2 linked regions of the Pelodiscus sinensis genome follow. The protein of the gene in region 2 interacts with the protein of the main gene of each other region in a biochemical or structural test. Links are inferred from orthologs where the notes say so. Each region holds a gene or a part of one and is shown on either strand. Other genes may lie near its edges.

Evidence for each region. The genes of interacting proteins can lie anywhere in the genome.
Region 1: the proteins of TDRD3 (region 2) and TOP3B form a complex in vitro, tested with the Homo sapiens proteins (2 studies listed by BioGRID and IntAct, with this or other methods). The link is inferred for Pelodiscus sinensis from reciprocal best matches to the Homo sapiens genes TDRD3 and TOP3B.

Annotation. Positions count from the first base shown.
Region 1 is NC_134725.1:16,993,031-17,002,785, forward strand, and holds the start of TOP3B (DNA topoisomerase 3-beta-1), read left to right. Parts: upstream 1-5,648; 5' UTR 5,649-5,759; intron 5,760-5,791; exon of another isoform or gene 5,792-5,878; intron 5,879-6,423; 5' UTR 6,424-6,517; coding exon 6,518-6,587; intron 6,588-7,438; exon of another isoform or gene 7,439-7,440; coding exon 7,441-7,572; intron 7,573-8,458; exon of another isoform or gene 8,459-8,645; intron 8,646-8,957; coding exon 8,958-9,064; intron 9,065-9,755. UniProt on the Homo sapiens protein: Releases the supercoiling and torsional tension of DNA introduced during the DNA replication and transcription by transiently cleaving and rejoining one strand of the DNA duplex.
Region 2 is NC_134711.1:278,659,561-278,669,105, reverse strand, and holds the start of TDRD3 (tudor domain-containing protein 3), read left to right. Parts: upstream 1-4,992; 5' UTR 4,993-5,289; coding exon 5,290-5,351; intron 5,352-6,745; exon of another isoform or gene 6,746-6,936; intron 6,937-9,545. UniProt on the Homo sapiens protein: Scaffolding protein that specifically recognizes and binds dimethylarginine-containing proteins. Plays a role in the regulation of translation of target mRNAs by binding Arg/Gly-rich motifs (GAR) in dimethylarginine-containing proteins.

The DNA of each region.
Region 1 (9,755 bases), on a different chromosome or scaffold from region 2:
CATTTATGGGAGTTGGGGGGCAGCAGTAGCCCCCTCCCATGTTTGAACCCCTGGATTTCAGAATTGAAGTTTTCTTAAAGTGCATGTTCTGACTCCAGAAGCAGCTCTTAATTGCAACAGAATTTGAGCTGCTTGCTGCTTTGCCTTTGGGGCAGGGAGCTTGTTATAAAGAGAGGGAGGCAGGGTGATAAAGAATAACAAAAGGCTGGGTATTCCAGTAACTGAAAGTGCATTAGATCATCACGAAAATATTGCTGAGTACTCCACTTAAAGATAGGAGAAAAGAGTAGGAATGAGTGTTGTGCTGCAGGGATCTGCATTTATATCACTGCTCTTAAACATCTCATGTTCTTGAAAAATGGGTAAACAATGACTAATTCAAAGGTGACTGCAGAGTTACACAGGGATCTCACAAAACTGGGTGACTGGGCAACACAAGAGCAGATGGAATTCAGTGTTGATAAGTGCAAAGTAATACACATGGAAAATATAATCTCAGCTATAGATACTAGGAGGCTGTGCCCCCTGCTCGCTATGCTTGCCAGCCCCCCTCTTGCTCTCTGCTTTCATGGCCAGAGAGTTTGTTAATCTTGCAGAGTCCAGCTGTGCTTTCCATAGCCCCAAGTCACTCACAACCTTCTCCACTCCTGCCCACCCCACCCCTGGACTGTCTATATCTGAACACTTTTAGCCCATCCCACCTACTCATGCCCTTCAATTGCCAGTCAGTCTCCCCATCCAATGCCTTTCCTGCTGTTGCCCAATCTGCCAATAACTCCATTCCCTATCCTTGGTGTAGGCCTGATGCAGTTCTTTAATTTTCATTTGCACCTGGTCCAGTGTGTATGTGTGGCCATTCTGGGCCAGGCTGGCGGCCATCTGACCATAAACATCCGCAGTCCTGAGTCTGATGTGGAGATCCTGGAAGTTGGACTGCTCACCCAACACCTCAATGAAATCCAGTATCTCTGCACCGGTCCAGAATAGGGCACTTTTTCACCCCTGGAGCTTCCGGGGTGGCTGCTGGCATGCGTGCAGCCATAGGAGGCTTGGAGGGAGCACTGGGGTCTGTCATGACAGCAGCGTAAGCTGTGCAAGGTGCTGCAGTGTGGCATGGGGCTAGCAGGAATGATATGGTGCCACAAGCCCTTTCCCTTCTTCCTGCAACTTTAAACCCTGCAGAAGAAGGGAAACTATAGAGTTTTGAGGGGTGTGAACAGAGTGGCCACTAGAACAGCTGTGAGATGCCCTTGAGGCCAATTATTTCAAAATAAGCACAGCTGACCCGTCCACAGTCACCCTATTTCGAAATAGCAATTTTGAAATAGGCATTACATTTCGTAGAATGAGGGGATATTATTCTGAAATAACAAGCGCATTATTTTGAAATAATTTCAAAATAACAGGCTTGCTGTGTGGATGCTCACCTTGTTATTTCAAAATAACAGGAGTTATTTATAGCTCAAGCTGGCTTTACAGTTCAAGCTGTAGAAGTACCTACAGTAAGCTCCAGAGGTCCCTGGTTCAAACCTGCTTGTCGGTGATTAAAACTAGAGCGGGTGGGCAGGCAGGCGGGGGGTTCATCCAAGATTGCACCTGAGTCTCTGGAGCTTAAGATGTGCTTCTTTAGCTATGGGAAGTATGTAATCCACAGACCTAGTGGGTGTGGTTCATTGTCTCATGTAGCAGCTCTTAGCCCACTTAGAGAAGGGAGTGTGCCAGCTGACTTTACAACTCAAGCTGTAGAGGATCCTACATTAAGGTGCCAGGTTCATATCTGCCTGATGGAGGTTACACATCTATGGCAAGAAACCAGTGAATGAAGGATGAAAAGCTTGTCTAAAAACTGAAGTTGTGCTGTTTTAGTTTAAATCAGTTGAATTAACCCAGTGCAACTTTTATGTGTGGACTGTTTTATATTGATTTAAAATGGATTCTATAAGTTTTGCTTGCACATTTTATATAAATAAGATTTAAAGTGATAGAAGTCTGTATACAATTGCACTGGCTTAAATAAGTTGGTATAAAATAACACTGTTGTTATATTGGTAACAACTTTGCAGACTAGCTTAAGGGAAAATCTTAACTGTGAATTTCCCTGTTCTTGTAAGAACTACCAAGATATTTAAGGTTACTTCAATATCGTTTTTGCATGTTTCTATTTTATTAAGAATCCTTGAATTAAGGAAATATTATATGAGAGTCTGAGACTTTTAGAATTGATATTATTTTCAACTTACATTACTATGGTGTATTAGAAAATAGTACTTACAAAATTAAATCATTGTAGGATAGGAAAAATCACCATTCTATTCAGAAACACTAAACAGGTTGAAACTCTGCAGTCTGGCCCCCTCAGGACCTGACTGAATCTAGATCAGAGAATTTGCTGAATCATGGGAGATCAATATTGTCTATCAGCATGCCGACACTTTCACTGCTTATTGGGCTCTTAAAAGACGGTTGGAGTAAATTAGAGCTAAATAATAGCACAGGACATTGAGAGCCAGGACTGATGGCTGTAAACAAACTTTATTGGACTGTGGGAAGGTTGACACACCCCTGATAAGCGGACATCCAGATAACTGAAATCATTCTGGACCACAGATGTTTCTGGCCCAGAGAGTGCTGGACTAGAGAGATTCAACGGCTGCATCTAGACTGGCATGATTTTGCAGAAATACTTTTAACGCAGTGGTCCCCAACCTTTTGAGGTTGTCAGGCGCCAAGGGGCGTGGCCGTTCGCCCGCCGGGTGCCGGGGGCGGGGACACTTGCGCGCCCGGGGGCGGCCCCCCCCCATAGCCGCATGCCCAGGGCCGGGGCCACCCCCCATAGCCATGCGCCCGGGGCCGGGGCCCCCCCATAGCCACGCACCCGGGGCCGGGGCCCCCTCCAAGGGCCGCACGCCCGGGGCCGGCGCTCCCCCCCCGCAAGCGCCGCGCACCCAGGGCCGGCGCTCCCCCCCCCCCCGCAAGCGCCACGCGCCCGGGGCTGGCGCTCACCGTGCGCCATGTGCCCGGGGCCAGGTCAGCCCCGAGCACCTGGCGGGCGCATGCAAATGCCCCCGCGGGCACCGTGTTGGGGACCACGGTTTTAACAGAAAAGTTTTTCCGTTAAAAGTATTTCTGCAAAGGAGCGTCTAGATTGGCACGGATGCTTTTGCACAAAAATGCTTTTGCGCAAAAGCATCCGTGCCCAATATAGACGCGCTTTTGCGCAAGAAAGTTCCGATGGCCATTTTAGCCATCGGGCTTTCTTGCACAAAAAATTAAGGTGCCTGTCTACACTGGCCCTCTCGCACAAGTATTCTTGCACAAGAGTGTTTATCCCTGAGCGGGAGCATCAAAGTATTTGCTCAAAAAGCACTGAATTCTTACATTAGAATATCAGTGCTCTTGCGCAAATTCAAGCAGCCAGTGTAGACAGCTGGCAAGTTTTTGTGCAAAAGCAGCCACTTTTACGCAAAATCTTGCCAGTCTAGACGCACCCAACCTGTATATAGTTCATTGTGCTGGTGGAACTTAGTTTACATGAGTTCAAATTGTGAATTGGCTTGTACATGTCTGCCACACTCTCTATTGGATTTAAACATAACTGTTCAGCTGCATAAAATCTAATGTAAGGTGGACCCTACTGAAACCATGGTCTTTTCATTTATTTTAGTGTGGCAGAAACTAATGTTTTGAGGAGAAACAATAACTTTAGTTTTGCATTATTCATTCCACATAGGAGACAGGTGGCAACAGGAACTGCTACAGAAAACAACTTAACAGGGCAGCTTTTATTGCTTTAGTTAGTATGGAGAAAATTAGCAGCAGAGGGGATTAAGAATGAAATTCTCTCTCACCAAAGAGCAGCTATTGTCCATCCCATTTTAACATTTTTCTCCACTTAAGCTCAACCTGGAGTCAGACCAGGGGTAATGTTCAAAAAGCTCCATTTGTGTCAGCAACATTTGGGAGTCATAGTGCCTGATCTTCTGATGTCCTGCGTGTAGTCATTGTGGGTACAGGCTAAAGTTGAATTAAGCTACACTACTTCATCTACGTCAATTGTGTATTTTAATTCTGAACAGCTCAACTCAGATTTAGGCACAGTCTACACAGAAAGAAGTCGAAGGAAGAACACTCTTACTCCAACTTTCCTTACCCCTCATGAAATGAGGGTTACAGAGTCAGGGTAAGAAATCCTTCAGCATTATTATTTAGAAATATAGGCTTGTAGAGTAGATGTGCTCTGTGTTATTTCCGAATAACGTCATTTATTCTGAAATAACGCTGCTGTGTAGATGCACCCTGTGAGTGCAACATAAACCTCCTTTGGTCTTTGTGCTGGTGAAAACTGTTCAAGGTTCAGGGCAATGAAAAATACAATCCATCTTGTAGAGAGGGCTTCTGTGGCTGCCCGTGTCATAAGCACTGTGTCCATAAGACCTACTCAGATGCATGTTAGATGATCTGGGCGATCCCCCTGGAGCAAGCCTCACTCTGCTTCCCCCTACCCTACGCCTGCACCCCACCCTTTCCCCACCCCCTTGCCCATAGACTACTCCCCCAACAAGGCCAACTGGGTGATTAGTAGGGAGCCTGGCTCAGGGCAGCAGCACAGGGTTGGTCTCCTCTCTGTCTCCCAGCAGCCTGTTCTGCTCCATTCTACCACCCTTTCCCAGTCCACTGTGCTCTGCTTCACTTCGGGGGTGAGAAGTGTTGCACCCTGAGGCCAAGGTGCTCTGCTTCCTGCTGCCACAGTGAAGTGGATCACAGCAGGTTGGGCAAGAGTGTGAGGGCAGGGTGGGGTGGAGCAGAGTAGGTTGCCAGGTTGCTCCAGCTCCTTCCACCATAGTGAATGAGAGGGCACCTTGACTGTCACCCTGCACTAGGTCCTCCCTCCACAGGTAATCCCCGAGGCCACCCTGGACAGGACAGCTCTGTCTGAAAATATTTATCTCTACATCCGCAGCTGCAGATACCTGAGTATATTAAATAGATAATTGCAAATCTGCAGGATTTCTAGATACAACTTTTGTATCTGTATCCACAAAAATGAGCTGCAGATATCCACATTCACATTTACAGATGTAGAAACCTGTAGATATAAAGCAGATATCTGCTGACATAAAGGGTACTAACCGTCTCGCCACTGGGAGGGGCAGGACCTGAGCCAGTGAAGAAAAGCATTTCTCTGGGGGGCAAAGATCAGGACAAATGTAGGATAGCCTCTGACTGAGCACAGAGCCAATGAGTGGAAGCATCACCCTGAGGACAAAGGGTGGGCGCCAACTGGAGAAGAAACGGCTCTCTAAAGGCAGAGGGAAAGCCAGTGGGCATCTCCCTTAGGGCAAGAGCCAAGAGCAACAGGAGGACAGCATCTCTCAGAGGAAGGCAGCAGACCAGTGAGTGAACAGCATCTCCCTATGGGCATAGGACCAGTGGGCAGACAGCATGTCTCAGGGCAGGGGCAGACAAAATAAAGCCCACAGGCCAGATCAGACCTACTAAACCTCTGCATCCAGCCCAAGGGAGTCTTTCCCGGGCACCCTGCCTGCCAGCCTGCTCCTGCGCACTGCTCAGCGCAGCTCTGAGCCCTGCACGCCCAGAGAAATGGGGAGAGACGCTGCACGCACAGCTCCTCCCACTGGCAGGGGCGGGGCCAATGGGCAGCTCTCTCCTCCGAGCGCCTTTGCCCATCTCCCGGACGGGCTTCCGGCGCGGTGACCCGGAAGTGGAAGCGGGGAATCAATGGCGGCGCGCGGGGGCTGGTGAGCGGGCCGCTGCGGGGGGCGCTTTCTGGGCCGGGTCTGCGGGATCGGGGCCTGGCAGCGGGCAGACCGGAAGCCGCCTGCGGGGCGCGCGAGGGCTGCAGTCGCTTTGCCATGAAGTGAACCGGCTTCCTGTGGACTTAGCGGGGTGGGGAAATCCGGAATCGCTCCGGGGTTTCAGGCTGAATCGGCGCAGGACGGCGGGAATCGTTCTGGGGTTTAGATAACGGGGAAGAGGGGGCTGGGGATGGGAGAGCCGCTTAGTTGGCTTTGGACTTGGAAAAACAGCAAGAACGCTAGTTCCCATTCTGGATCAGCCATCCTGGAAAGCTGCATTTGATGGGCGGGTAAAATAAACCATTTTTTCCCAGTCACTGAAAAGAATTCTTCAAAGGAGTCACTGGCTGGTAAATTATAGTAGCTTTCATCCTGGAGTGAATTGTTATAGCCAAGCTATAAACCACTGTGTGTAATGGAAATGCTGATACAGCTTGTATCCATAGGACCACCTAAACACGATGACAGCAGAACGGAATAGTTGTTTGAAAATGATTAAGTGACAGGAAAATGTGTATTGTTGGCATACACATATAACATTTTGTATCCCATTTTTTTCTACACATGATTTCATTTAAACTCAAGCTGTTTTTCCCCCTCTTTTTAGGCAGAAAGATAATACAGTGAGAACAAAGTGAAGTTTATGCTAGGCTAAAATCCCTTGATTAAGTCTTCCAGCCCTTTGAACTCCATAACTAAAAATGAAGACGGTGTTTATGGTTGCAGAGAAGCCTTCTCTGGCTCAGTCTATTGCCAAGATCCTCTCAAGAGGTAAGACAGAAAGCTTGCTAATCTCTTCAGTCTTTTTTGTTTCTCTTAGAAAGGGTATGTTTGTACTGTAAGAAATAAATTTATTAAAACACATATGTGTATCTCTTTGTTTGGAAGTAAAGCAATTTACTAATTGCTGCATATTACAAAGACTACTAGATTTCAAGGAAGGTGGAAGCTAAAAAAAAAAAACCCTACTATTTGGATGCAGATGTTAATCTGAGCTGCCAGCTGCAGATGAAACTGGATGACATTCAGCATTTAAAAGGTTGTCAATAGAACTCTCCTCCATCTTTCCATTTGCTGCTGCTTAGTTGACTGGGTTTTTCTTGCTTGGAAAACCAACAAGAATGCTACTTTCCTTTCTGAGTCATCCAACCTGTAAAGTTGCATTTATTGGTGGGAAATTTTTCAACAATTTGAAACAAAGTATAAACCTGTGTGCCAGGAGACTGATTTTGTTACTTAATATAATGTTTTTACTGTTCTATTGTACTGTTCAGAGATTCTAAGTAAGTAGTAGATCCCTTGCTCTGAGGTTTTTCTGGCTTAGAGGCATGAGCTGGTATAGTACAGCTCTCTATATATAATGCAGAGTGTGTTCATTATACTTTGTGTTGATCCACAGGATAAGTTTGGGACATGTTAAATGGAAGGTTGTTGCAAATATATAGTGAGATGTTAATAATGGCCCAAATGAGGGAGTTCGCAAGAGAGAAACTTGTGTAGAGAATAGAAGGGGGTTCAGGAAAATCTGGAGATACAGAGGAAAGACAGAGTTTCATGATGCAAGAAACAAGATTACTTTCAGTATTTTAATGTCTGTTCATATTTATTTTATTTTTTTGTACAGGAAACATGTCTTCTCATAAAGGGCTGAATGGGGCATGCTCTGTTCATGAGTACACTGGATCATTTATGGGGCAGAGTGTCCACTTCAAGATGACATCTGTGTGTGGCCATGTGATGACTCTGGATTTCATAGGTATTGTCTATTTGTTGTCTGTTTGATTTTGAGCAGTTTGCAACTTTTTAAAAAAAAAAACAGCACTGATGCAAAATTAACTGTGATTAGTAAAATCAGAGTCACTGCTTCACTGTAAATTGGATAAGAGAAAGGAGTTAAGTCAAAGTATAGTCTTCAGATTAAGACATTGTCTAGATTTGGAAGCTCTAAGTTTCATTCCTGATATTGCAACAGACTGTGTGATCTAGGGCAGTGTTCTCATCCAGGTGTCTTGATCCTCGGTGTAGGGAGGGACAGGGGCGCAGCAGGTTCCAGAGACATCCAAGCTGGGCCAGCATTAGACTTTCTGGGGCTCAGGGCAGAAAGCTGAAACCCTACTACTGCATAGTGCTGAAGCCCAAGGCCTTGAACCCTGCCACCGATGCTGAAGCCAAAGCCTGAGCAACTTAGCTTCATGGAGCCCCAGGCAATTGCCCTACTTGCCTAATGCCAGCCTTGGCATTTATATGCAGAAAACCAGTTGTTGTGGCACAGGAGGACTATGGAGTTTTTATAGCATGTTTGGGGAAGAGAAGGGGATCAGAAAGAAAAAAGTTTAGAACATCAGATTTTAGGGCAAATCACTTATCTTCTCTGTGCTTTCATTATTTTATCTGCAAATGGGGAGATGAGTCTAAATTTTCTAATGTTTTCAAATACTAAGATTCTTGGATGCAAAATATTATTAAAAGGGCCTGGTGTAAAAATGTGATGGAATATTCAAAGAGGTATGTAATGGCTTAAGTGCATGACTAGGAACTCCTTGGATTTTAATGTTGCCTCTCACTGACTGTGACACAGAGATTGTCATTTGACAACTGTTTTTCCATCTGTAAAATGAAGATAATACTTAACTACCTCACAGGTGTTATGAGGAGTAAATAGTATGCACAGTGCTTTGAAGATGTCCGACAGTATGTTAGTGCTAACAGTTACAATCAAGAATGACTGAGATATGGAAAACAAAAGAAACAATATAATGGAGCCCAACAGATTATATAGGAGAAACAATGAAACTGACTATTTATAAAAGGACTGTAAAAATGCTCAAAGTGAGTAAGTTGCAGAAATAGAAGAACATAACTTTTTTTAACTCCTCCCTCTAATGTTTCAGTTATAGTTACTTGTCACAAAACAAATTTCCTTTAGAAATGTGTTTTTGTTGCTATCCCTTTAAAATATGACTGATCTCAATATAAATCAAAGTTAGAGGCCATTGCAGCACTTGGTGGAGAAGAATGAAGCACTGAACTTTCTAAAAGAATGCCATTTCTATAGTCAGCATACTATGATTAGCTTTGCAAGCTATGTCTTTGTACAATAAATGTTTTATTTAAGGTATTTAGAACTGTTTCCCATTTCAGGAAAATATAACAATTGGGACAAAGTGGATCCAGCAGAGCTTTTTAGCAAAGCCCCTACAGAAAAGAAAGAAGCTAACCCCAAATTGACTATGGTGAAATTTTTACAGGTATTCTTTGAGATGTATTTTAAACTGTTTTGGGATTTTTTTTCAAATGGTTAGTGTTCTCTTTAACTACAAGCCTGACTAAATGGACTCTTGTACATTTCAAAGGAGGTATGCGGAAGTGCCTATCGACCTGTCGTGTAGGCAATGGAAATTCCATCAACAACTTGACTAGTAAATTAGTCGTTCGTTAACATCCCTAGATCACGGTGCATAATCAGCTCCACATGAGCTCCCATGTGGTGCTGTGGCCACAAGGGCTAATGCAGTCTGTGGATGAATAATAAATGGAATCTCAAGCAGGAGTAGAAAAATCATCTTCCTTATTTGGCACTAATGCAATTACTGCTGGAATACTGTTTCCAGTTGCAGTGTGCACAGTTCAAGAGGGATGTAAAATCTCATTTAGTTGAGTAACCGGTTAAACATATTGTTTAACCAGTTAATCAATTAAAGGGGAACAAGCTTGGATGGGGGTCTCCAGCCCAGTTGGACCACTTTCCCACCATTCCTCCCACTAGTGTTGCCAGATGGTTGAACTAAAAATACTGAAAACACCTTCCCCCCTCTACCCTCCCCAAAAAAACCACTGGGGAAAAAATTCTGTTGGGGAAGGGGAGGAGACCAAAGTTGTTGAGCAAAAAAAATTAAATAATAAAACAGCATTAAACATCATGGCCCCTTTCAGAGTGAG
Region 2 (9,545 bases):
AATTTTTTTAGGAAAAATGGCCATTTTCCAAAAAAAACTACACTTATGTCCATGTTGCTATTGAGTTCTTTTGATAGAAAGTTGAAAGAACTGAGGGTTTTTTTCCGACAGCAATAAGCCTCTTTCTATGAGGAAAAAGCCTTTTTTCGAAAGAGCTCTTTCGGAAAAAGGCGTATGTGGACAGGGAAAAGGGTTTTTTTTTTGGAAGAGGCCTCCAGGAAATAACACAGATGCCCTCGTGGCCACTCCCATCGAAAGTAATCAGAACTCTATAGTTCCTATCTCCTGATACCTCTTAAAGCTGCAGGCACTTTGGAAAATCCTTGTGGCAGGAAGCTGGCCCTGGAGCAGCACCTGACTGTGTGGCTCTCTCTGCCACAGGCATTGCCAGCCGTGGCCCAGCCACAAGCCCCATGAGACCCTGCTAGCCTTCGCAGGGAGCAGCACCAGGGCTTCCAGGACCCAGCCAGGGGCAGCAAGCAGCATGCACCCTCCTGGTCCGGAATGGAGAACCTGTCTCTCCTCGAGCTGTGCGGGGAGGAGGAGACCCTATAGGATCTCTGCTCCCGACACCAAAACACCAAAATCCATGGCCGCATGGCTGCAGCCCTGGCAGAGCGGGGACACCCCCTCTGGACCTTCGAACAGGTCTAGAGTAAAGTCAAGGAGTGCCGCCAGGGCCAGGGATTGCAGCTTACATTCTGGGGCTGGACCCACTCCTGCCCCTATTACCAGAAGGTTCACCAAATCCTGGGGGTTGGGGAAGCCATTTCCCCACCCATGGTGGTCGATGCCTGTCGTCGCCCTCCCAGAGGTCATGGAGAAGTAGGAGGAAAAGGGACAGCAGGGGCAGGAGGAGGAAGAGGACACGACCAGCACTGTGACATTGAGCCTGGAGCTGGTACCCCTGAGCCAGGATGTGTCGCAGGCATCTTCTAATGGTGGGGAGAGATCATTAGGTGAGTGCTCTCAGTTTTCCACACACTTGAGGCGGGTGCAGAGAGGATGGGGTGTGAACATCGCTCAGCCTGCTCGCCCTGGACTTCATGCTGCAGTTTGAACTATGTGCAGTGCCAGTGTGTGCCATGAGGCCTCAGACGCAGCCCCTGAGCACCCTCGGGATCCTCCTCTCATGCTCAGGGAGGCCACACACGTCTGACCCCTGGGAGAGGGCACACAAGTCTACCCACCACCTGCCACAGTTGGAAGCAGGCTGGGCGCAAGGGCACAAGGCCAACCCCAGACAGACTGAGGTGTGCTGCACACAGCACATGGGCATGCCTGTGTGAGGCAGCACCCGCACCCATGGACAGTGCTGCAAGGCACAGGTGTGTGTGCGGGCCTCAGGGAGGGCCAGGCTTGGACACCTAGAATAGAGGCTTCATTTTCAGAATGCTTATACTATATATAAAAAAATTGTCTAGTAGCACTTTAAAGACTAACAAAACATGGGGGGAGGGGAGGGAGAAAAAAATTGAAGGCGAGGAAGAAAAAAAGATAGTAAATAGATAAGCTTCAGAAGCTCTCCCCTCTCTCCTTCCTTTATTTATTCTTGGATCTGGACTTCCAACACTCCGGTCATCTGAAGAAGTGGTTTGTGCCCATGAAAGCTCATGATACCATCTACATGTTTTGTTAGTCTATAAAGTGCTATTAGAATATTTGTTGTTTAAGTTCTTCCTGTTACAGAGTAACTCAGCTACCCCCTGAAGCTTTTATACTACATAAGTCCATGATACACTCACAACTTAAATATTGCATGCAAGTCCCGTCACCCCCTCATAAAAAAGATACATTAGAATTGGAACTGGTACTAGGATGGGTAACAAAAATGATTAAGAGTATGGAAGTTCCCCCCTCCTCAAATTCAGATGAGTGCAGATTTGATAGCTTGTATTTATTTAACTGTACTGTATATGATATGTTTCAGAGGAGCTCAGTGTGCTACATTGGACCACTGCAAAGAGGCTCAGGGCTGCAGTGGCCAAAGGAGAGGAACCCTTTCCCAAGCCCCCACATGGAGCAACCACAGGTGGGAGGGGAAGGGGCCCATCCCCACCAGCCCCAACACAGACTTGCTGTGGTGGGGGGAAGGGGCCTCCTTCCTGCTAGCTCCAGCACTGAGTGCAGCCAGTGTAGCTCTGCAGGAACTGGTGGGGAAGCAGCCAGCAGATCCAGCACTTAAGCAGGGGGAGGAAGGCACAGGGCTCTGTGCATTGTCCGCAGCCTGACTGAGTGGGGTGGGCGGTGTCCTTAATGGGTGGCTTACCGGGTACAGGTAATGGATATGGGCTGGAGCAGCCCCCCGTCTGCCAAGGGCCCAGTGCACTCCTGCCTGGCCAGAGTAGCTCCCATCTGTGGTGTCCCCCCACTGATCCCCTCCATTTAACTGGTTAAACTTGACATTTAACCAGCTAATGAAATAAATGGGATTTTACACCTTATCCTCCAACCCCTGGAGCCAAACCTGCTGGCTGTTTCTGGGGCATGGGGTGATGCCCCAGACAGGCAGATACCAGGCAGACACCACGAGCCATCCAGATAAGCTCGAGCCCTGAGCCCCCCATAAACCTGGTGCCCAAAGTGCACACCTGAGCCCACAGCCTGTATTCCCTTCGGCACGCCAACCTCTGCTCCAGAACACTCACTTCCTACTGCATCCAAATCCCCTTCCTCAACCTGCATCCCCCTTCGGTATTCTGAATCCTTTTGCCCTACTCCAGGCTGGAGTGCTCTCCTGCACCCCAATCTCATCCCCATTTTAGACTTTATACACCTTAGCCCCTCCTGTAGCCCAACTACTTGCTGCAGCCCTGAGCCCCTTCACACTCAGCACTTCCATTTAGAGCCCTCAACCCAATCCGTTAGCTCCACCTGTCACGCACTGTCCATGTGTGTAATGCCTTTTGTTATGTGATATATCACCGCCCTACTGGTGCACATAATGAAAGTTAATCTGCACATGGACATAAAAAATTACAGGGAACACTAGTGAGGGGTAATGAATTTAGACCTCCCACTGCTTGTTAGAGTACCACTGCAGAGACCTATGCAGGTAAATTGTTCCCAGTGAGGGTTGAAGGTTCAGCTAGAGCAGTGGTCTCCAATCTTTTTATACTCAAGATCACTTTTTAAATGACAGACCAAGCCAAGATCTACCACCCCGCCCCTTCCTTGAAGCCCCGCTCTCTCTATTCTCCTCCTCTCCATCACTTGCTATTCCCAATCCTTATACTGCTGTTTTTTTTAAAAGGTTTTTCCAACATTTGGAAGAGGTTTTTCAACATTTGGAAGTGGTGCTCAGCCAGGATGCACCACGCTCCACGTGGGCTGGTGCAGAGAAGAAGCTGCCTGGCCAGCTGGCTGTGGCCTTCAGCCCGGAGAAGGATGAACTGTGCTCCAGCTGATCGGGTGGCTTCCCCTCTGTGCCTGGCCACGTGGAGCTTGGTGCACCCTGGCTGAGCGCCATGGCCAGCTGGCTGGGAAGCAGCTTCTCTTCGCTCCCGCCATGCTGCCCTGTGCTCAGCCCGGGAAGCTTGCTCCAGCACAGCTGCAGCTAGACGCAGCCTCCCTGGGCTAAGCGCAGGGCAGCCAGGCTGGAGGGAAGAGAAGCGGCTTCCCGGCCAGCTGGCCATGGTGCTCAGCCAGGGTGCACCAAGCTCCACGTGGGCAGGCGCAGAGGAGAAGCCGCCCATCAGCTGGAGCGCAGGGCAGCCTCTTTCAGCTGAAAGCCACAGTCAGCTGGCTGGGGTGTTTCAGCCCTCCTGGCCTCCCAGCTCCCACAATTCCTCGCAGCTACTCACCTGTGTTGTTGCTTGGTGAGTAGCTGCTCCTCAAATGAGGAAATCTAATGTAAATGTACTGCGCAGGCGCGCAGTTCAGAGGGCTCAAGAGCTAAGGGTACGTCTAGACTACATGCCTCTGGCGACAGAGGCATGTAGATTAGGCTACCCAACACAGTAAAATGAAGCGGCGATTTAAATAATCGCCGCTTCATTTAAATTTACATGGCTGCCGCGCTGAGCCGACAAACAGCGTATCAGCTGTTTGTCAGCTCAGCGTGATAGTCTGGACGCGCGGGTGTCAACATCAAAGGTATTTGTCGACCACCCAGGTAAACCTCCTGGGATGAGGTTTACCTGGGTGGTCGACAAATACCTTTGATGTCGGCAGGGGAGCGTCCAGACTATCGCGCTGAGCCGACAAACAGCTGATCAGCCATGTAAATTTAAATGAAGTGGCGATTATTTAAATCGCCGCTTCATTTTACTGTGTCGGGTAGCCTAATCTACATGCTTCTGGCGACAGAGGCATGTAGTCTAGACGTACCCTTAGAGCCCCTGAGATCTACCAGTAGATCACGATCTACTGGTTGGTGACCACGCAGCTAGAGCCATGCATAAGGTGAGCACGTGTTCTCTTCCAGAACAGTCCTATTTATTCCAGCTGTCCTAGTTGTTTGGGAAAAGTTTTCCTTTGTCCCCTTTGCTCTCCCAAACTGAATCAAATTGGTAAAAAAAGTGGGGTGCGTAGGAACGTGCTTGGGGAGGGATGGCAGGCTCAACGTGAGCCAGCTGCAATTCTAGCCCCAGCCTCGCACCGGGAAGGGAGCACCAGGGGGAGGGAAAGCTCGGGCCAGCCCCACATGGCTGAGCCTCGGCCTAGCCTCACGCGGGGTCCCTTTCGCCCTGTGGGAGCGATGGTCTCTCCCGCCCTACACGCTGCGAGGTCTGCCCTGCGCCTAGCCCCACAGGCACGCCTGGGCACATGATCCACGTTCTGCGGCAGCCCCCGCTGGGCCTGGCGCTCCAGCCCCGGGCAGCCCGCGCTGAGGCCCTTGGAGCCCTTGTGCGTTACTGACACGGGGCTCTGGGCAGCAGCCGGGGCTCTGGCCGCGGCCCCCTCCCCGACCTCGCGGGCAGCGCCGCAGCTCAGGCCACTCGCTCCGTTCCCGCTCCCTGCAGCTGGCGCCGCCTTCTCCGCCCGCCCCCGTGATGGCGGCGCCCGCCTCGCTGCTGGTACCCGGGGGCGCCGGGCTCGCGCCTCCACAGTAGCGGCGGGGCTGGAGCCGCCCCCGGCTCGGCGCCTTTGTTCGCCTGCGAGCGGCGGGCTCCGCGCCGGGGCCACCGTCGCCTCAGCCGGGCGAGCGGCGCCCAGGGGCGGGGGCGCGGCCAGAGCCGGGCGGGGCGGGCCAGGCCACGCGGCTCCTCCCCCGCAGCCGCCCCGGGTACGGGCCCAGCCGGCCGCCCAGCGCCGCAGCAAGTTTGTGGGCAGCTGCCGCCGGGGGCTATGGAGGCGGCGGGAGCCACCATGGCAGGCGGGACGAGCTCCGCGCTCTCGGAGTCAGGCTGGTAAGTGGGGCCTGCCCGCTGGGCGGCTCCTCGGGCCCGGGGTGGGACTCGGGCCAGGCCTGGAGGGTCAGGCCTGGGCCGGGAAGCGGCTGCTGCGGCTCTAGGCCTCTCTGGTTCCTGTCCCTTTCCACCCTGACTTGTAACACTCCCCTCCCGCCTGCCTTGTGAGAGGAGCAGGAAGTGTGGGGGGAAGGTAAGTGGCTTTCACAGTGGCATGGCAGCTCTTGGTTTGACCTTTCTGGGGCCCTTAGAGGGGATATGCTAGGCACAGTCCCGCAGCAAAAGATCCAGAGACCAGACCTGCTTTTCCCTTTCTCAGTTTTCCCTGTCTATACAGTGAAGGGTTTCATATTTCCTATATTTTTTACATAGTTATCTCTGTTAGCAGGAGCATGCTGTGGCCTTTGTAGTTAGTCTGTGCACCTGGGTTGCCTTTAACATCTCCCATAAATGAAACAGAAAGCAAGAATCATGGAGTGTTTTGTGAACAGTTAATGAAATAAACGTCCCAGCATCTCTCGAGTTGGTATTATTGCACTAATGTTACAGAAATGATCAGCAGGTAAAGTTTAATGCACCAGAAAGTTGCCTAAATTCATAGGCCTTGTCACTGTAACCTTTCTCTGAACAAGGCTGATATTTCAGTGCAGCTCCACTAATGGTAACAACAGTGGGATTGCTGAGTTAGACAAGGTTCTGAAGAACTGAGGATAGTTTTTACTGTCATTTTGATTAAACGTGCTGCAACAGTTTTAGCTGAGATGTAGTGAAAACATTGTAGGCCCACAGCCTTTCTGGACCACTCATACTAGCGCTGGTTGTGCTGCATGGATGGAAAATTATTTTTAAAAGGGGCTAGTGTAGACAGTCTTGTGTCTCTCCTGTTTGTTCAATTAGTTGGAAATAATACTTCAGTCAAAATGCAACACTTAACCAAAGTTACCACTTTTTCCAAAACAAAGCATACGTGTACTCACCTGGGTATGGGTTGGTGTTATTTATTTACTAGATTAGACTTTTTTCTCCTTAATTATTTTACAACACAATTGTGAAAATGGGCATGCTTTGCAATATATGATACTTATAAAAAAGTAATCATTTAGGTCTAACTTGGAAAATAGTTGTAATACATGGTTACATTGCAAGTATGTGAGTAGGCCTATTGACTTGAGTGGAAATACTTGCTTGAAGTTTCACTTGCTTGAAGTTTCACATGCTTAGACTCTAGAATGTGTACCTCTCTTCTTCCTGTATTTTATTGGATTGGGGCTTTACAGTGCCTAAATTATTTCTATCACTTGAAAAGGATCACAACAAAGGTCACATTTTAATTGCTGGAGCTTATATACTGTTAAACCTATACTTTTTTTTTCCCTTCAAATTTTCATTCAAAGTTCAGTTTCTGGAGAAAATAGCAATCTATGGGAAGACTATAAATCTACTGATCTGTTAACTTTCTGTTCCTACAAACTTGGATTGCCTTTGAAATTACCTGATGTTCTTTTATGGAATCATTGATCAAACTAAGAAGCTGAGGTGTCTTGCTAGGACTGCTTCTCTGCAGATGCTTGGCTAAGGAGTAAAGGTACTAATTTCAGAAATTATCTTTTAACACTATTCTAGGACAAAGGGTCATGACTTTTGGCCACCAGAAGTTAGGTACTAAAAGTAATTTTTAATAGAAACTGTATTCAAGAAGATCAGCAATTTATAAATTGAAATTAGCAAAGTTTTCAGGCAAGTAGTTTATAATTTCATCTTCATTTTTTAATTTTTAGTTTCTTATTATGCATAGATATATAGATATCGTTAAATGAAAGTAGAGAGGTTATTTTACCTTTTGAATTTGGCACTACTGCAACTGCTGCTTGAATATTGGAATATCTAGTTCTGGCATCCATGATTCAAGAAAAATGTTTTGAAGTGGATTCAGAGAAGAGCCATGAGAATAATTAGAGGATTAAAAATCATCCCTTGTAGTTACAGATTTTTTTTAACTCAACACTTGTTTAATTCAACAAAGAGGAAGATAAGGGGTAACTTGATTACAGTCTGTAAGAAACTGCATGGTGAATAAATATTTAATGGGCTCTTCAATCTGGCAGAGAAAAATATAAAAGGATCCAGTGGTTGGAAATTGAAATGTGGATTAGAAGTTTTGGTTGATTCTCTATCACTAGCTATTTTTAAAATCAAAATTGTTTGTGTTTTTCTAAAAGATGTTTTCTAGGAATTATTTTGGGCGAGGTTTTGTGACCTTAGTTGTACAGGAGTTCAGATTGGATGACCACAAGAGTTACGACTTGGCTTGGAATTGTGAATTTAAAATATTCGTCTTAACACACACACTGAAATTTTTAGACTGTTGCCACTTCTCTAGTTTGGTAGTTCAGTGAGCATAGATGATTGTTGATATTTTCACCACAAATATAAGCATTTTCAAAACACCTTAGTGGCTAGCTTATATTAATAACTGAAATGTCCCAAATGGTGAGCTGCAGTGGTGTGACCTCCCCCTCTGTGTTGCACTGGCTTTGTGCTCGTAGCCAGCACAGCAGACTCTGAGAGAACCCCCAAATACCACAGTATCCAATAAGGGACAAAGCTATCAGGGCCAGATTTGTTGTTGATGAAGCATGGTCCTAGCTCCCTGGATCAGATGTCTACGTCTATGCTAACCTGTGTGTGTTTGCAGTGGACCAGCTCAGTAAGCGGTGGGACTCTCTATTGCCTCCTAGGCCAGACCAAGACAATCCCTTTAGGACAATGGTTCCCAACCTTTTTTATATTGAGGACTGGCAAACCAATTCATAAACTTTTGGCGGACCTGTAACATTTTATTTATATATTTGCATATTCACATGCAAGTAATAAATATTCAGATATACAAATAAAATGTTACCCGCCTGCCAAAAGATTGTGAATGGGTTCCGATCCGTGGTATAAAAAGCCCCAGAACCAGCCTTAACTCCTAGAGCCCCTCACCCTTCCACTACCCCCCAGTGCCAGCCGCTGACCCCAGAGACCCCTGCACCCAACCCCCCTAGAGCCAACATCTCGCCCTCAGAGTCCCCTAGTGCCAGCCCCCTTGCCCCAAACGTCTCAGTGCCAGCCTCCTGTTTCCAGAGCCCCACTAAACCTAATCCCTCCAGGTTAGCCCCGTGTCAGCCCCCAGTCCCCAATACTAGCCCTTTCTTCTGTGCCAGCCCTGCCCCTCTAGTCCCTTCACTGTCCCTGACCCCTGAGCCCCCCAGAACTCACTCCCCATTCTGGATGTCATAGTGCCCCTCGGTGTCAGCCACCCCCCCAGCCCTAGAGACTCTCAGTACTAGCCTTGCCCCCAGAGCCCCATGCCTATCCTACCTCCCTCACCAAGCCCTGCTACTGCCTTCCAGCCACCAGCTGAGTGCGGAGTGCTTCCCTGCATGGCGGGAAAGCTGTGCGGAGCCTGCAGCTTGCCATGCTTCAGCTGACCACTGTTGCAACAGGGCCCCTGCTGAGCACAGCTGTAGTGATTGGCGAGGGCAAAGCGCCACGTGGAACCCAGGTGCTGTGGCACTCAGCTTGGATCAAGCAACGCGTGGAGCTTGGCTACTGCGATGCTCAACAGGGGCCGGGCTGCCATGGCACCCAGTTGTGGCCAAGCACTGCAGCTGTGCAACATGCGGTCCTGCCAGCCAGGCCACGTAGTGGCCACTGGAGCTAGAACTGGGGCCACAGTGAGGCTGCCCTAATAGGGACAGCCTCGCTGCAGCCCCAGCTTCAGCTGAATCACATCTGTTTGGTCACCGAGCCACTCACCCTGCTGCTGCGTGGGAAACCCCAGTGGACGGGGCTCATTAGCAGCTAGGAGCATGGCCTGGCAGGCAAGGATTCATAGCCCACCACTGGTCCCCGAACCACTGGTTAGGAACCACCGCCTTTAGGATACTCTTTCATACATAGATATAAGCAAGTTATGCATCACTTCCGTTGTATGAAATTGCCACCATCAAACATACCTAGATACCACCCATTATATATGGTTCCTTCAAAAACATTGCTGTCTATCATGCTGTCATCTTAGGCCTTATCCTGAATCTGTATTGGTATTTACCTGTTATCTGTGAGCAATGTGTTGGTACCAAGATGTTTCCTAATGAGGTATTTTGATGCCATCCATCTAGAATGTGTTTATGGCCTGTTCCTAGTACC